2 linked regions of the Cricetulus griseus genome follow. The protein of the gene in region 1 interacts with the protein of each later gene in a pairwise test. Links are inferred from orthologs where the notes say so. Each region holds a gene or a part of one and is shown on either strand. Other genes may lie near its edges.

Region 1 (6,064 bases):
AGTCGGCCTTATTAATGATTTTTAAAAATTATTTAGAAGTCTGTAACAGTGAAAACTCTGCAGCTGATTGAGGCCTGTGACACAGTGAAACACTGAATAATCATGATTATAAGAAAATCTATTCTGTGACTTAAAAAATCATTACTGTGTAGTAAATCCAATTTCATGTGTGTACTTCTGGGCAGAAGTCAATATTGCATGAAATAACACTGCTATTCTTTAGAGCACTGAAATATTATATAAAGAAACACAGAAAACCATTTACCTCTTTTAGTATTTGGCAAGGTGGGTTTTAATTGTGGGGTGTTACATAAATTTTAATAGGACTTCTCAGAGCCATAATGTATTAATGAGAATCAGGACTTATTTGTAAGAAATAGATATACTATGCAGTGGCCTCCAAACTGGTTTGAAGATAGTATCTTCATTTTCTTGTCTTCATGGTTGTATTTCTGTCTATGGAAAAATAATGTGAACTTGTAAGACTAGTACAGCCTGGAACACAGTATGAAAAAAAAATAGACTTTCTTAAAAAAAAAAAGTAGGTAGATCCCTAACAGAAAGAATTTAGATACCTCCATTTTCAACATTTACTAAAAGCTTCACACTGAGAAATATTATGAGGCCCCAGAGCCTCTTCACCTCACCAGCATTTCTGATGGCCAAGGGTGATGAAAGATTGAAAATATGGCTTATCCATGGAACACATATTGATCAACCATATAAAGGAATGAACTACTGATACAAGGCATAATGTGGGAGAACCACGAAGACATTATGCTAAATGAAAGGAGCCAGACACCAAAGGCTTGTATTACATGATCCCAATTATAGGAGGTTCAGAGCAGTCTCCTATCGACAGAAAGTAGATTAGGGTTGCCTGGGGTTGGAAGGAGAATGAGAGATGAATGTTAATGACTGTCCCCTCCACTAGGTGACAATCTGATGTCAGACAGTGACAATGGTTTTACAACATCATGAATATAATATAACTCACTAGATTACTCACTAGTGGGTGAATTTTAGTATTAGTATATTAATTTGTTTCAATTAAAAAACAACATAATAGATGATAACAAGAATGGAGATACCCTAATAGAGGGAGATATTTTTGGTTTACAGAGAAATCAGGCACTAGGGAAATGTCTGGAGATCTACAAAGATGACACCAGCTAACAATCTAAACAACAGAGGAGAGGCTACCTTAAATGCCCTCCCCTGATAATGAGATTGATGACTGACTTATATGCCACCTGATAGCCCTCATCCAGCAGCTGGTGGAAGTAGTAGCAGACACCCACAACTAATCACCGAACTGAACTGGAACCCAGATGCAGAGGATGAGTGAAGAGCACAGGAGTCCAGACGAGGCTGGTGAAACCCACAGGAACAGCTGACCTGAACATCGGGGAACTCTTGCTCCCCAGACTGATAGCTGGGATACCAGCATGGGACTGTTCCAGACCCCAGGAACATGGGTTTCTATGAGGAAACCTCGGAAATCTACGGGACCTCCTGTAGAAGTTCAGTACTTATCCCTAGCATAGGTGTGGACTTTGGGAGCCCATTCCACATAGAGGAATACTCCCTGAGCCAAGACACACGGGGGTGGGCCTAGGCCCTATCCCAAAGGATATGATAGACTCTGATGACACCCTATGGAAGGCCTCACCATCCAGGGGGAGCAGAAAGGATATGTGATAGGTAGGGTTTTAGTTGGGGGTGGGTAGGGGAGGACAGGTGGGAGAAGGGAACTGGGATTGTCATGTAAAACAATCCTGTTTCTAATTCAAATAAAAAAAAGTCAAAAAAAAAAAAAACAACAAAAACAAATTCAGGTTGGGTGTGTGCTTAGCATGCATGAGGCCCTGGGTTCAGTCTTCAGCACACACACACAAATAAATAAATGAAAAAACCCAGCACTCACCATACTGGAAGGTAAGACTTTTTGCATCAAAGAAACTGACAACACAACTATTTCTTGTCAAGTATATTTAATGAAGATACTGGCTGTTATTTACAGAAGAGATATGTACATACAATTCCTACACATTAGATGTAGTCTAATTGTGAAAAAAGAAAAAAAAATGTACTCCAAAATTTCATACTGAATAAAATAAATAAAAAGGAATATTTGGCACAATGTCTATAATGTAGCAAATAAATAACTCTATACCATTGATCGCATGACCTATTTACAATCTATCTGAAAGTGCAAAACAATTGCTGAAAATTAAGACTTTTGTAATAACATTTAAGTCCAGAAAATATGAGTTTTTTCATCAGTATCAATAAATTTGTAGAGGAAAGGTTTTTAATGCCCAGGAAAATATTTCAATTTTGAAAAACGTTTTGTGCATATTGTGCTCTTCTGAAATGTTATTTTCTATCTTAACGCTGGCAATATTAAGAACCTTAGTGTTTCTTAGCAGAATTCTTGCATATGTAATCCTGATTTGTAAATTTTAAAAGTTACAATGTAAACATATTATTCTATAGATCATTCAGAAATTACAGACCAAATAGCCATAATGTTTCATAGTATTGTGGTGAGGTGCTACTCCTTTCGAGGTAAGACTATGAAGATGGAGGAATATGACCTATAATTTGGACTTTTATGGTTTCCTCCACACCCTCCCCAGACCCCATGCCCCAAATCAAGGTGCTAAGTAAAACCAAAAAAACATTCCATTATATCATCACCAATGTATCTAAGTCAAACCCACTCATGGCACAGTCTCATCCTGCAAACAGCCTGGAAAGGGATGTCAGGGGCTTGATGTAGGCCTCACCAATGTTATTTCTTCATGTGAGCCTGTGATGGCATGGCTGGAAATGAAGGAGGGTGGCTATAACAGATGACTCCTAAACTACAACATGTCAGCATCATACAAGGCAAATCACTTCCTCTCTCTTGGTATGGTTGGATAGTTGGATGTGGCCCTGAGACGGGGGAGGGGTCTCAGTATGTGTCTCTGTTCATTCTCAAGAATTCTCTAGTGGCAACACAGTCAGTAGTAGCATACACGGCAATTTTTTTTTTTTTGAAAGATTGTGGACTGGAGACAAAACATCACTCTATGGCCTGCGAGGCTCTAATCTGTGTGACATCTGTGATAAAGTTCTCTGGTTGTCAATCACATTTAATTGCCGTACATAACTCCGGACATCCTGATGGTTCTTATTAGCTTGAGCGGCATCGGGATCTGTTAAAAGAATAGCAGGCAGGGTTGGCGTTGCACAATATCTGCATGGAAGATGCAGCTTTATTTTCCCCACTGACTTATCACATTTATCATAGATTCCCTGGGCTCTGCCAAGACCTTTCCACACACCACATTCACTGAAATATTTCTACTTGGTTGGTCCATCTGCTGCCTTCTACCCTCCGATTTTCTTTTCTTCCCTGGAATCATCTCTTTTGATCATTTTTCTTTGGATTGCACGCTGAAAAAAAAAAAGGGCACCAAATAAAAAGGGAAGCATCTGTCTGATGGCCCTGGTGACAGATGAAAATTGTTTTCCCTTCCTGGCCCACCTCTGTGTCACACTCTGTCTCCACCTCCTTTGATCCAGATGAGGACTAGTGTCAAAGATATAGTTTCATTAGCAACTCACAAAAGCACTTAACACCTGGACTGAACTGAAGGGAGCCAATGGGCATAGGGCCCCATAGCCCCCCTTTGCTTACAGCACCATTTTAACTGTATGCCCGCCCCTAAGCACAGTCTGGATTAGGCAAAGCTACCTTCTGGCTGATGACTTCTAGTAAACTTTTCTTCTCTGACACAACTTGCTCTGAAAGTCTGCTGACCATTCTATTTTGATCTATTGATGTGAGTACCTGGGCTGTCAAAAACGTAAATGGATTTTATTCAAACCAGGATTCCAAAAAAATCTATGTCCATAGTCGAAATACATAGTATATATAAGAATGAGGAAGGCCAGATTCAACAGCAGAATGGAAAACTGGAAACACAGTGCCTTGGGAAGTGGCCACCTAGCTCCTGAATGCCATCACCACGTAGGAATCTGTGTCCAGAATAGCCAGGTCCTCCCTTCATTTCCTTCCTACCTTTTTCCCTTCTTTCCTTTTGAAACAAGGAATCTGAATTTCTCCCCTGTAAATTTCCCTAGATTTTAAATGGCGACTCCTCCATATGAAGGAGGGCAGTCTGTTTATGGTGCAGCCCACGGGTCACGGACTGTCCTGGGGGAACCACTCTTTCCTCTAGTTTACACTGGAGGGCCAAACTGGACTCTGTTCAGAGTTCCCTCTTCTCGCCCCCAGAGCTGCCTTCTGAAGTCCGGTTGCTCCCCTTAGATCCACCCACTGTTCCACCAGACAATCAGAACGCCATCTGCATCCAGGGCTGGAGGGGAGTGAAGCAGGTCTGAGCACAGAAGGCAGAGACAAGCTACAAAGGCCCCTGCTCGCCGTAAGAAGAAACTCATCAGTATAATTATCACATATAAATAATACCACAGTGAACTACGGAACACATTGTGCTTAATTTCCCCCCGCATCCCACTGGCAGTGTACTCTGCATGTACAATATACTGTAATTACATTGTATACATCCCCACAATGTTTATGAATCTATTCCTATAGCTTTATCTATAGATTGTTGACTTCAGAGCCGAGCAGCTGTTGTTTACCAGCAGTTGCTGATAAGTTCAACAATGCACTGCAAGTTAAAAAAAAAAAAAAAAAAATCCCCTCACTTCTCTCAAAGATAGCGAAGAACGAAGAAAGGAGACTTTCCTGCCAAAGAAGCTGTGAAACAAAGCTGATCCTACTATGGCTCCTGTTTGGTTCTGGAACAACAGCCCCTCCCATCCTACCCGAACCGTTCCCAAGGCTCTGAGCCCTCTCCAGCACACAGGACTTTGCATGTAATTTGAGAATGTTTGGGAACCCTCTGAAGGGACATGGGTTCTGGATTGTAAAGCCTGTCGTGACTGGTACTGTTTCTCCTTGTTTTCAGCCAATTTGTGGCCATGTCTTTTACATACATAGTAAATTACTATAGGAAAGGATGTGAGATGCTTGAATTCTGGCAGAATCCATGTAGGAAGGGTTGGAAACATACAAGACTGCTCTCATTTTTAGAAACGAGAGGGCACCGTTGTTTGAATTAAATTTTTAAAAGCTCTTCTCACCCCCTAAGTCAAGATTATTTTCTCTAATTGTTTTTTTTTTTCCTCCTGAACATTAAGAAAAAAAAAAGAAGAGTGAGTAGTTCTGGCATTCTATGTTAGCAAGCTCTGGCTTTGGGCCAGATCGACACTACAAAGAGCATACCACTGTGATTATTAAAACAAGAACCTGTCAGTCTCTTCAGACAGGATCTACTGGAGAGGACGGTGAGGTAGGCTGCTGTCACATCTGTGTCATCTCATCGAGGTGAGTGAATATGCCAATCCTCTCACATGACTCACATAATGACATTAGCACAAAACTTCAAAGGGTTCACTGCTCTCTCCCAAACCAGACCAAAGGAGCAAAGCTCTAGTCCTTATCCTGAGTCCTAGGCCAGAAGAGACAGCAGCACCGATGTAACGTGGCCAGCTGGTATGACAAGGAAACTTGACAGTTTAAAATGGCCATTTGTTAGTAGTAATATTTTAGACCTATGAAAACATAGCACTGGTGTTTATGACATAGGTTCAACATTTGAAAGAGTACCTGGGAATACTAGAAACGTTATGCAGAATCCTGCCAGGGGACATTTGCAAATGTGTTATAAATATGAGTGCATTTTCGAGGGACAATAAATATTTTCTTTATCGGTTTATAAACGATGGCACTGACTCACCAAGGGTTGCTTAGTTTCTTGGCATTAGCACTGAGTCACACCAAGGGTGGCATGGAGCCTGGTGTTGGTGGCGCACACCTTTATCCCAGCACTTGGGAGGCAGAGGCAGGCAGATCTCTGTGAGTCCGAGGCCAGCCTGGTCTACAGAGTGGGTTCCAGGACAGCCAAGGCTATACAGAGAAACCCTGCCTTGAAAAACAAAACAAAAAAAGAAAGAAAAGAAAAGAAAAAAGGGAAAAAAAAAA
Region 2 (6,645 bases), on another chromosome or scaffold:
GAATGTGTCTCCAGGGAGATTCTGAGTCTAGAAGGGACGGTGTGGTCCTTGCCTCTTCCCTTGCTGCTGCTGTAGAGAGCAGATGCTGCAGGTGGCAGTGGCTGCCATATGACTTGACTCTGTGTGGCTCCTTATTAGACTTGTGTTCTGACCATTGCACACTATCTGCATCTTGAATTCAGGTTTGGGCTGTGTGTTGGTTTATTTATTGAAATGCAGTTGGCTAATCCAAGCCAGGCTGTTATTACAGCTAACACATTGGCGTCACACATCCATGTTCGAGTCCATTGTGACCTGTGCGACGCACTTGCAGATACATTGCTTCATCTGTGAGGCGGGGCTCGATCTCCTGGATTGTTGGTAATGGGTCTTTAGTAGATGAAGAAATGTTTTAACATTGTAGCAACCAGGCAAGTTGCACAGCTTGGCCCCATTACCTGGCAGGTAGATGGCTTAAGACCCCACTTCGACATCTCAAGTGTGACTGCTAATGGCACTTATGTGCACTGTGTGAAACAGTGGGGAAAACACACTTGTCTCAGTTCCTGGCACACACTCAGCATTGCCTAAATGGTAATTTCTTTTTCCTTCACAGAGGGGTAAGACTAAGGACACTTAGAGCAGGATGTGTGGGCTGCTCCCTAACTGTGATGGATTCCTTTGGCTTCCAGTCTCCTTATAAAATGGGGTGGGGGTAGCATTACATGACTGAGAAAATGTACTCTGAAATGCTTTCCCATCTGGGTTGGGGGTCCACAGCAGCACATGACCCCGAGACTTCTCTGCATTACAGGTTGTTGGAGGAAGAGTCTTCTAAGAGGGCGGAATTGGAAAAGTGGCACCTGGCACAGCAGCAGGCTATCCAGACGACAGAGGCGGAGAAGCAGGAACTGGAGCAGCAGCGTGTCATGAAGGAGCAGGCTCTGCAGGAGGCCATGGCACAGCTGGAACAGCTGGAGCTCGAGCGGAAACAGGCGCTGGAGCAGTATGAGGTGGCTGGACTTACCCTGCACACACCTGTAACTGACTCCTTAGAAACCCTGATCAGCTAGGGTAGGGGTGGGGCGCTGCATCCACTCTGCAGAAACTTGCACACAAACAATAAAACTCCAGCGTTCACTTAGCAGAGTCTTAGCATAGAGAAGGAATAGGAAACTTTTTTCCCCCCAGAGGATGGAGGTGTCTGTCAACTCAGGGACCACAGAGGAGCGTGAGTGGGAAAGTTTACACAGTTATAAACTGTGACAGAGAAGTCCCCGCCAAGCTGTAGAACAAACTCTGAGAACCATGGGGATGACGGGTGTAGGCAGCAGCCATTGCCCTACCCTGAGGTAGAGCACCCAGGGGAGGCCACACCTCATTGGAAGGGCAGCTTACAAAAGAAAGTGTTCAGTTGGACTTAGGGTTTCAGTGGTTAGCGCCCATGATGGGAGAATGAAGGCATGGAGACAGGAGAAGCTGAGAGCTCATATCTTGATCTGAAAGCACTGCAATGGCTGGCATGAGTCATTTTGAAACCTCAGAGCCCACTCCCAGTGACACACTTCCTCCATCAAGGTCACTGCCCTAATCCTTCCCCAAATAGCTCCACCGACTTGGGACCAAACATTCAAACATCTGAGTCTATGGGAACCATTCTCATTCAAGCCACTATGACTATGGCTGTCCTGAGTGAGTGCCAGCAGAAAGAAGAGCCCCTTCCTCCCCATGTCCTTCAGAACCTGTTATTGTTGAAGCTGGGGCTGCCCCTATAGTGAGAGAATTAATACAGCAACAAGACAGGTTGGGGAAGGGCAGGCCTGGAGCAGAGAGGCAGTAAGCTGACAGTAGGGTCCTAGCATCACATGCATGAGGTGAGAAGAGCCTTGGAATCAGGTGGCTTGGCTCCCAGCCCTGCTTCCTGCATGTGACCGTGGGCAGATGGCGTAGCTCTCTGCCTGAGTTTTTGCTAATGTGCAATAGTGGTAATGGTAGCTCCTCCCCCTAGAGTAATTCTGATCATTTAACGATGGAATCCACAGGTGTACAGTAGGTGCCAGTCCACGCTACTTGGTTCTTAAACTGCCACTTTTGTTCTAGGGAGTTAAAAAGAAGCTAGAGATGGCAACTAATATGACGAAGAGCTGGAAGGACAAAGTGGCCCATCATGAGGGATTAATACGATTGATAGAACCAGGTAATAATATAACTATGATCTATTTTAACTTACTTTCTGTTATATTTATGTGATTGAGTTGTATTAAAAACAACTGTCTTAGGGGCACAGAGCCCTTGGTTCTATGCACAGCACCACATAAACTGGTACCTGTGACCTAGCTCTTGGATGTGAAGTGCAGGGTCACCCTTGAGATGGCTCAGGGTGAAGCACTTGCTCTGCAGGCCTGGCCACCTGAGTTCAGGTCCTCGGAACCCTCATCAAAACCTGGATGGGGGACATGGACATTTGTAATCCCAGGGGCCCTACAGGGGCCGAGAGTCACCATGAAGGCCAGCTGCTTCCTGTGAGTCTCTCTTGAACAGCTTGTCCTCTGTAGTCAGTGGCCCCAGGTGACCTTCCTGCATGTATCTTGCAGCTCTTTTGGCTGGTAAGCCTTTTGGGCATTCCTCAGAGACAGAGTAAACAAGTAGAAAAGTTGTTTTGTCCCTGGAGTGATGACAGGGGTGGAGGGTGTACCTGCATTGAAGGCATGCTTGTTGCTTAGGTTCAAAGAATCCTCACTTGATCACCAACTGGGGACCCGCAGCATTCACCCAGGCAGAGCTCGAGGAGAGAGAGAAGAGCTGGAAAGAGAAGAAGACCACGGAGTGACAGCTCTCCCAGTGGCCACCCCAGGCACAGTCACATCAGTGAGGAGCCGAGCTCCATGCCCAGGACAAGGACACTGGCTTTGCTGCTTCTAACCATCTTTCCTCAGGGCTCCAGCGGGGTCCACATGTTGAGGACACTGTATTTACCTTCTAGAGCTGTCTGAGCTTTCCTGGGTGAGAACATAGGCACAGGTGTGGCTGGGGCCACCTTCACTGTCACCTTCTGCAGCCCTGCAGCCGCTGATGTCAGCCCTTCTCTGCATAGGACGTCTGCTGCCTCCTAAGGCAGTGTGTCTCCTCCGATGGTCTGTTTGCCTTTCCCTGTCAGGTGACACGGCAAGCCTTCATTGTTGGTGCTGTGATGGACCTGGGCATCATGCACTTGGCATGCTTCATTTGCATTTCCTTTCCCCTCATTTCATAGCAAAACGTATCTTGACCCAGTGTCTCTACCCAGTTCCCTGGACATTCTGTCCCCAGCCCCCGTCCACGAGTGGAAGTTATTGATATTAGAGGGGCTAACTTGAAATCAGTGGTGATTGGCTAGTTTAGGAGGTTAAATGTGGACAGTGGGAAGCTGACAGTACGTGGGCTGGTTAGATGTAAAGTGTCACAGGATGAGGGCAAGCCCTTCCTTTAGCCAAGCTGGGATTGTGGCTTTCACTAGGATTGTGTCTCTGCTTTTCCCACTTCCATGGGTGACCAGGTCATGGTTCCTATGTTTTTGTTTTTTATTTTTTGTTTTTTTTTTTTTTGAGGAAGATTTTCTGGGATTGAGAATAGTAAAAGTAAGCTTTCCCATGCTAGTTGGAATCTATAAGCTCAGTGACTCCATGGACAGCCACAGTGCTTTACATTGTAAACAGAAGGGTGATTTCCAAGTTACAGAAAAGGTGAAATTCAGTAACAGAGCAGAGGACCCCGAGTGTCCTGGTCCTTGCCTTTCCTTGCCTTGGGGCAGAGAGGAGGCCATTCCAGACATGTGCAAGTCTAGAGATAGATTTCAGTGTTCCTGGTATTTACATAAGGACTGGATAGAATTCCATAAATCTCTACCTTTTATGACTGGAAAACATTTGCCAATGGAAGTCTCATAAATTTTTCTTAAGATTTTGGGCTGCTTAACTGTAATTTTATTTAATGTTTATAGTTGCTTTCATAGAGTTTAGATTTGTATGCAGAATATCACTGTATCGTGAACCTTAAGCTAACCTGGGTGTGGGTTTCTGCCTGGCCATTCATTCACCTCACCCACCAGTGTTTTCTTTTCGTTGCTGCTGGGCTATCAGATGAGGGGGCCAGGGCCTCCCCAGTGGCTTAATGATGTCTCCTAGGGGACTTCAGTGACCCTGGAGAGAATGAGGAAAAGAAACCGCAAGAAAGTTCTGACTGGTGTGAAATGTCTGGATGGAAGCTGAAGACCTGGGAGTCCAGGGGAGACTGGGGTGAAGGGACTGCCATGTCCTGGCTGGCAGACCATTCATTCCTCCTTAAGCCTGACTTTCTTTGAACACAGCCAGAAGCAGCGCCTGCTATGGCCCTCATTGTCTGGCCTGGGTGCAAGCCTGAATTCGGCCTGCATCCTGCTCGTGCAGTACTGTATGGGCTGTGCAGAGGTGTCTGCAATCTGTAGACACTGGCTGCAGCAGCACTGTGGCTGGGGCGTGGATAAAGAAGACAGCACAGATGTGGACTCTGCGACTCCCTTTTGGTCAGATGCTTTGATGCTCATGGATCTCTCCTGATCCTTGCTGTGGCTTCAGCTAAGTGCCTGTCGACCCCTTGCCTCACCTCTGTAATAGCTACAGGAAACTTCAGGAGTGCCTGTCTGTAGGCACTGTAATCAGCCCTTCCTACTGTTAGAGATAAGATTATCTGCAGGAATTGTGAATGAAAAACATTTTGAAATCTGTTTTGGAATCTGCCTGTATTGAGAAGGAACAAAATATTTATAATTTTAAGCATTTTTATCTAAACATTGTACAATGTAATATGCTCAACTTTCTTAATTTTTTTGCTAATTTTCTAAGATATTAAAATGTTTTTATGGGATTTTGTTTTGTTTTTAGTACAGTGAACTCAATAAGAAAATTAAACATACCAGAATTTTATACATTTTAAAACTGGTTTAATAAAATGGTAAAGTGTGTGTGTGTGTGTGTGTGTGTGTGTGAGAGAGAGAGAGGGGGGGGGGAGGAGAAAAGAGAGAGAAACTGAGAAGCCTCTGTAAAGCAAAGAACATAGTCAAGAAGACAAAATGGGTCCCTACAGAATGGGAGAAGATCTTCACCAACCCCACACCTGACAGAGGGCTGATCTCCAAAATATACAAATGGGGTGACTGGGACAATATATGAAGCCATTGGCAGTGGATCCAACACCTAACACTAATGCACAAACTGACTTAGTGGAGCCCATGCTATATGGAGAGATACCGTGCCCAGCCTAGACACAGGGGTGAGGGGTGGAGAGGTGCCTTGGTCCTGCCTCAACGAGATGATGGGATAGACTTAGTAGACTTCCTATGGGAGGCCTTACCCTCTCCGTGGAGCAGATGGGAGAGGGGAGTGGGGGATTGGGAGGAGAGGAGAGAGGGGGAACTAGGATTGGAATGTAAAAAATAAATGAATAAAATAAAAAATATAAATGGTAAAGTGTGTGGGTGTTTCCTAATTTCATTTTCATACAATCCTGTGGATGTGGTTTAGGGACACTCCTGAAAACACTGGCTTTGGGAGTCAAGACCTCAAGTAGTCAGCTGTGACCTCATGTTTGGTGTTTGAGTCACAAATGTGGGGAACTTGGCGGATGTGTCAGCTCAAGAACCTCCAGAGCTGACCTCTCTTCATTGTTGCCGTTACCCCTGAGCCTTTTACTCTTGACTGTTTTCTCAAATTTTCTTTATGTCTTTGAGTTTTTCTTTCACTAGAATAAACGGTGTAGTTTTCTATTTGGGTTTACCTGGTCCCCAAGATTGAAACTCTGACTGTAGATGAAGAAGGCTTTTGCTTAGCTTGACTGTGTATTGGCCAACTGGTTTTCCTCTTACGGAGGAGGGAGGGGAGTGGGTGTTTGTAAAACTGTCTTTCTTTACTGCAGCAGTCCTCAAGGAGGGGCACTTGTTCCTGGGGGGACATTTGGCAGTGTCTGGAGACATTTGTGGTTTTCATAACTGGAAGGAATGTGCTGGCTTCTGTGGGTGCCTTGCATCACCCCAGCTTGGAGGGGAGTGTTGTTAGTTCCTATTGAGCCTCATTGACCCTTCTGAGGTTTCTGAGTCATTGGTCTTGGGTAGTGGGCACATTTGTGGTGGACACTGAATTCCAACCGTAGCCCAGACTCTGCCTCCCTTCCCAGTTTCTACCACACCAGTGCAGCCCCTGGTCGTCATCTACAGGAACGACGGCCTTTCTCTTTGCCTCCTCCATGGCAGTTGAGAGGGCCAGGGAGATTGTAGGAGTGGGAAATGGAGGGTTCTGTCCAGCTGCCCTCTTCTGTCTGATGCTGCTTCCCCATTTGAAGTCCCATTTTCCCCAGTTCTCCCCTCACACCTGCAGCCAGCTGGATTTCTAAAGGTGGCATCTGTGGGCCTCACTTTCAGTGCTTCTCACTTCGCAGCCAGACATGTCCCAGGGACATGGTCCGTCACAGTGGTTTCAGACCAGCTGCTACCTCCATGCTCACCTTCAAAATCTGTCCAATGGGAGTTACTGTCCTAGGCTGTCAGACTGGTGTGATTACAGAGAACATGGGCCCAAGGCCCACTCCACTGAACTGGAAGCTGATGACAGGGCAGCAAAGGACGTTTTCCCAGAGTGCTCAGTGCTTGTCCCTCAA

What was found.
Region 2: the proteins of rap guanine nucleotide exchange factor 4 (region 1) and Swap70 interact in a two-hybrid assay, tested with the Homo sapiens proteins (2 studies listed by BioGRID and IntAct). The link is inferred for Cricetulus griseus from reciprocal best matches to the Homo sapiens genes RAPGEF4 and SWAP70.

Annotation. Positions count from the first base shown.
Region 1 is NC_048599.1:102,904,830-102,910,893, forward strand, and holds the end of rap guanine nucleotide exchange factor 4, read right to left. Parts: intron 3,207-6,064; coding exon 3,079-3,206; 3' UTR 1,978-3,078; downstream 1-1,977.
Region 2 is NC_048596.1:90,427,992-90,434,636, reverse strand, and holds the end of Swap70 (switch-associated protein 70), read left to right. Parts: intron 1-793; coding exon 794-992; intron 993-2,079; coding exon 2,080-2,176; intron 2,177-2,702; coding exon 2,703-2,809; 3' UTR 2,810-4,860; downstream 4,861-6,645.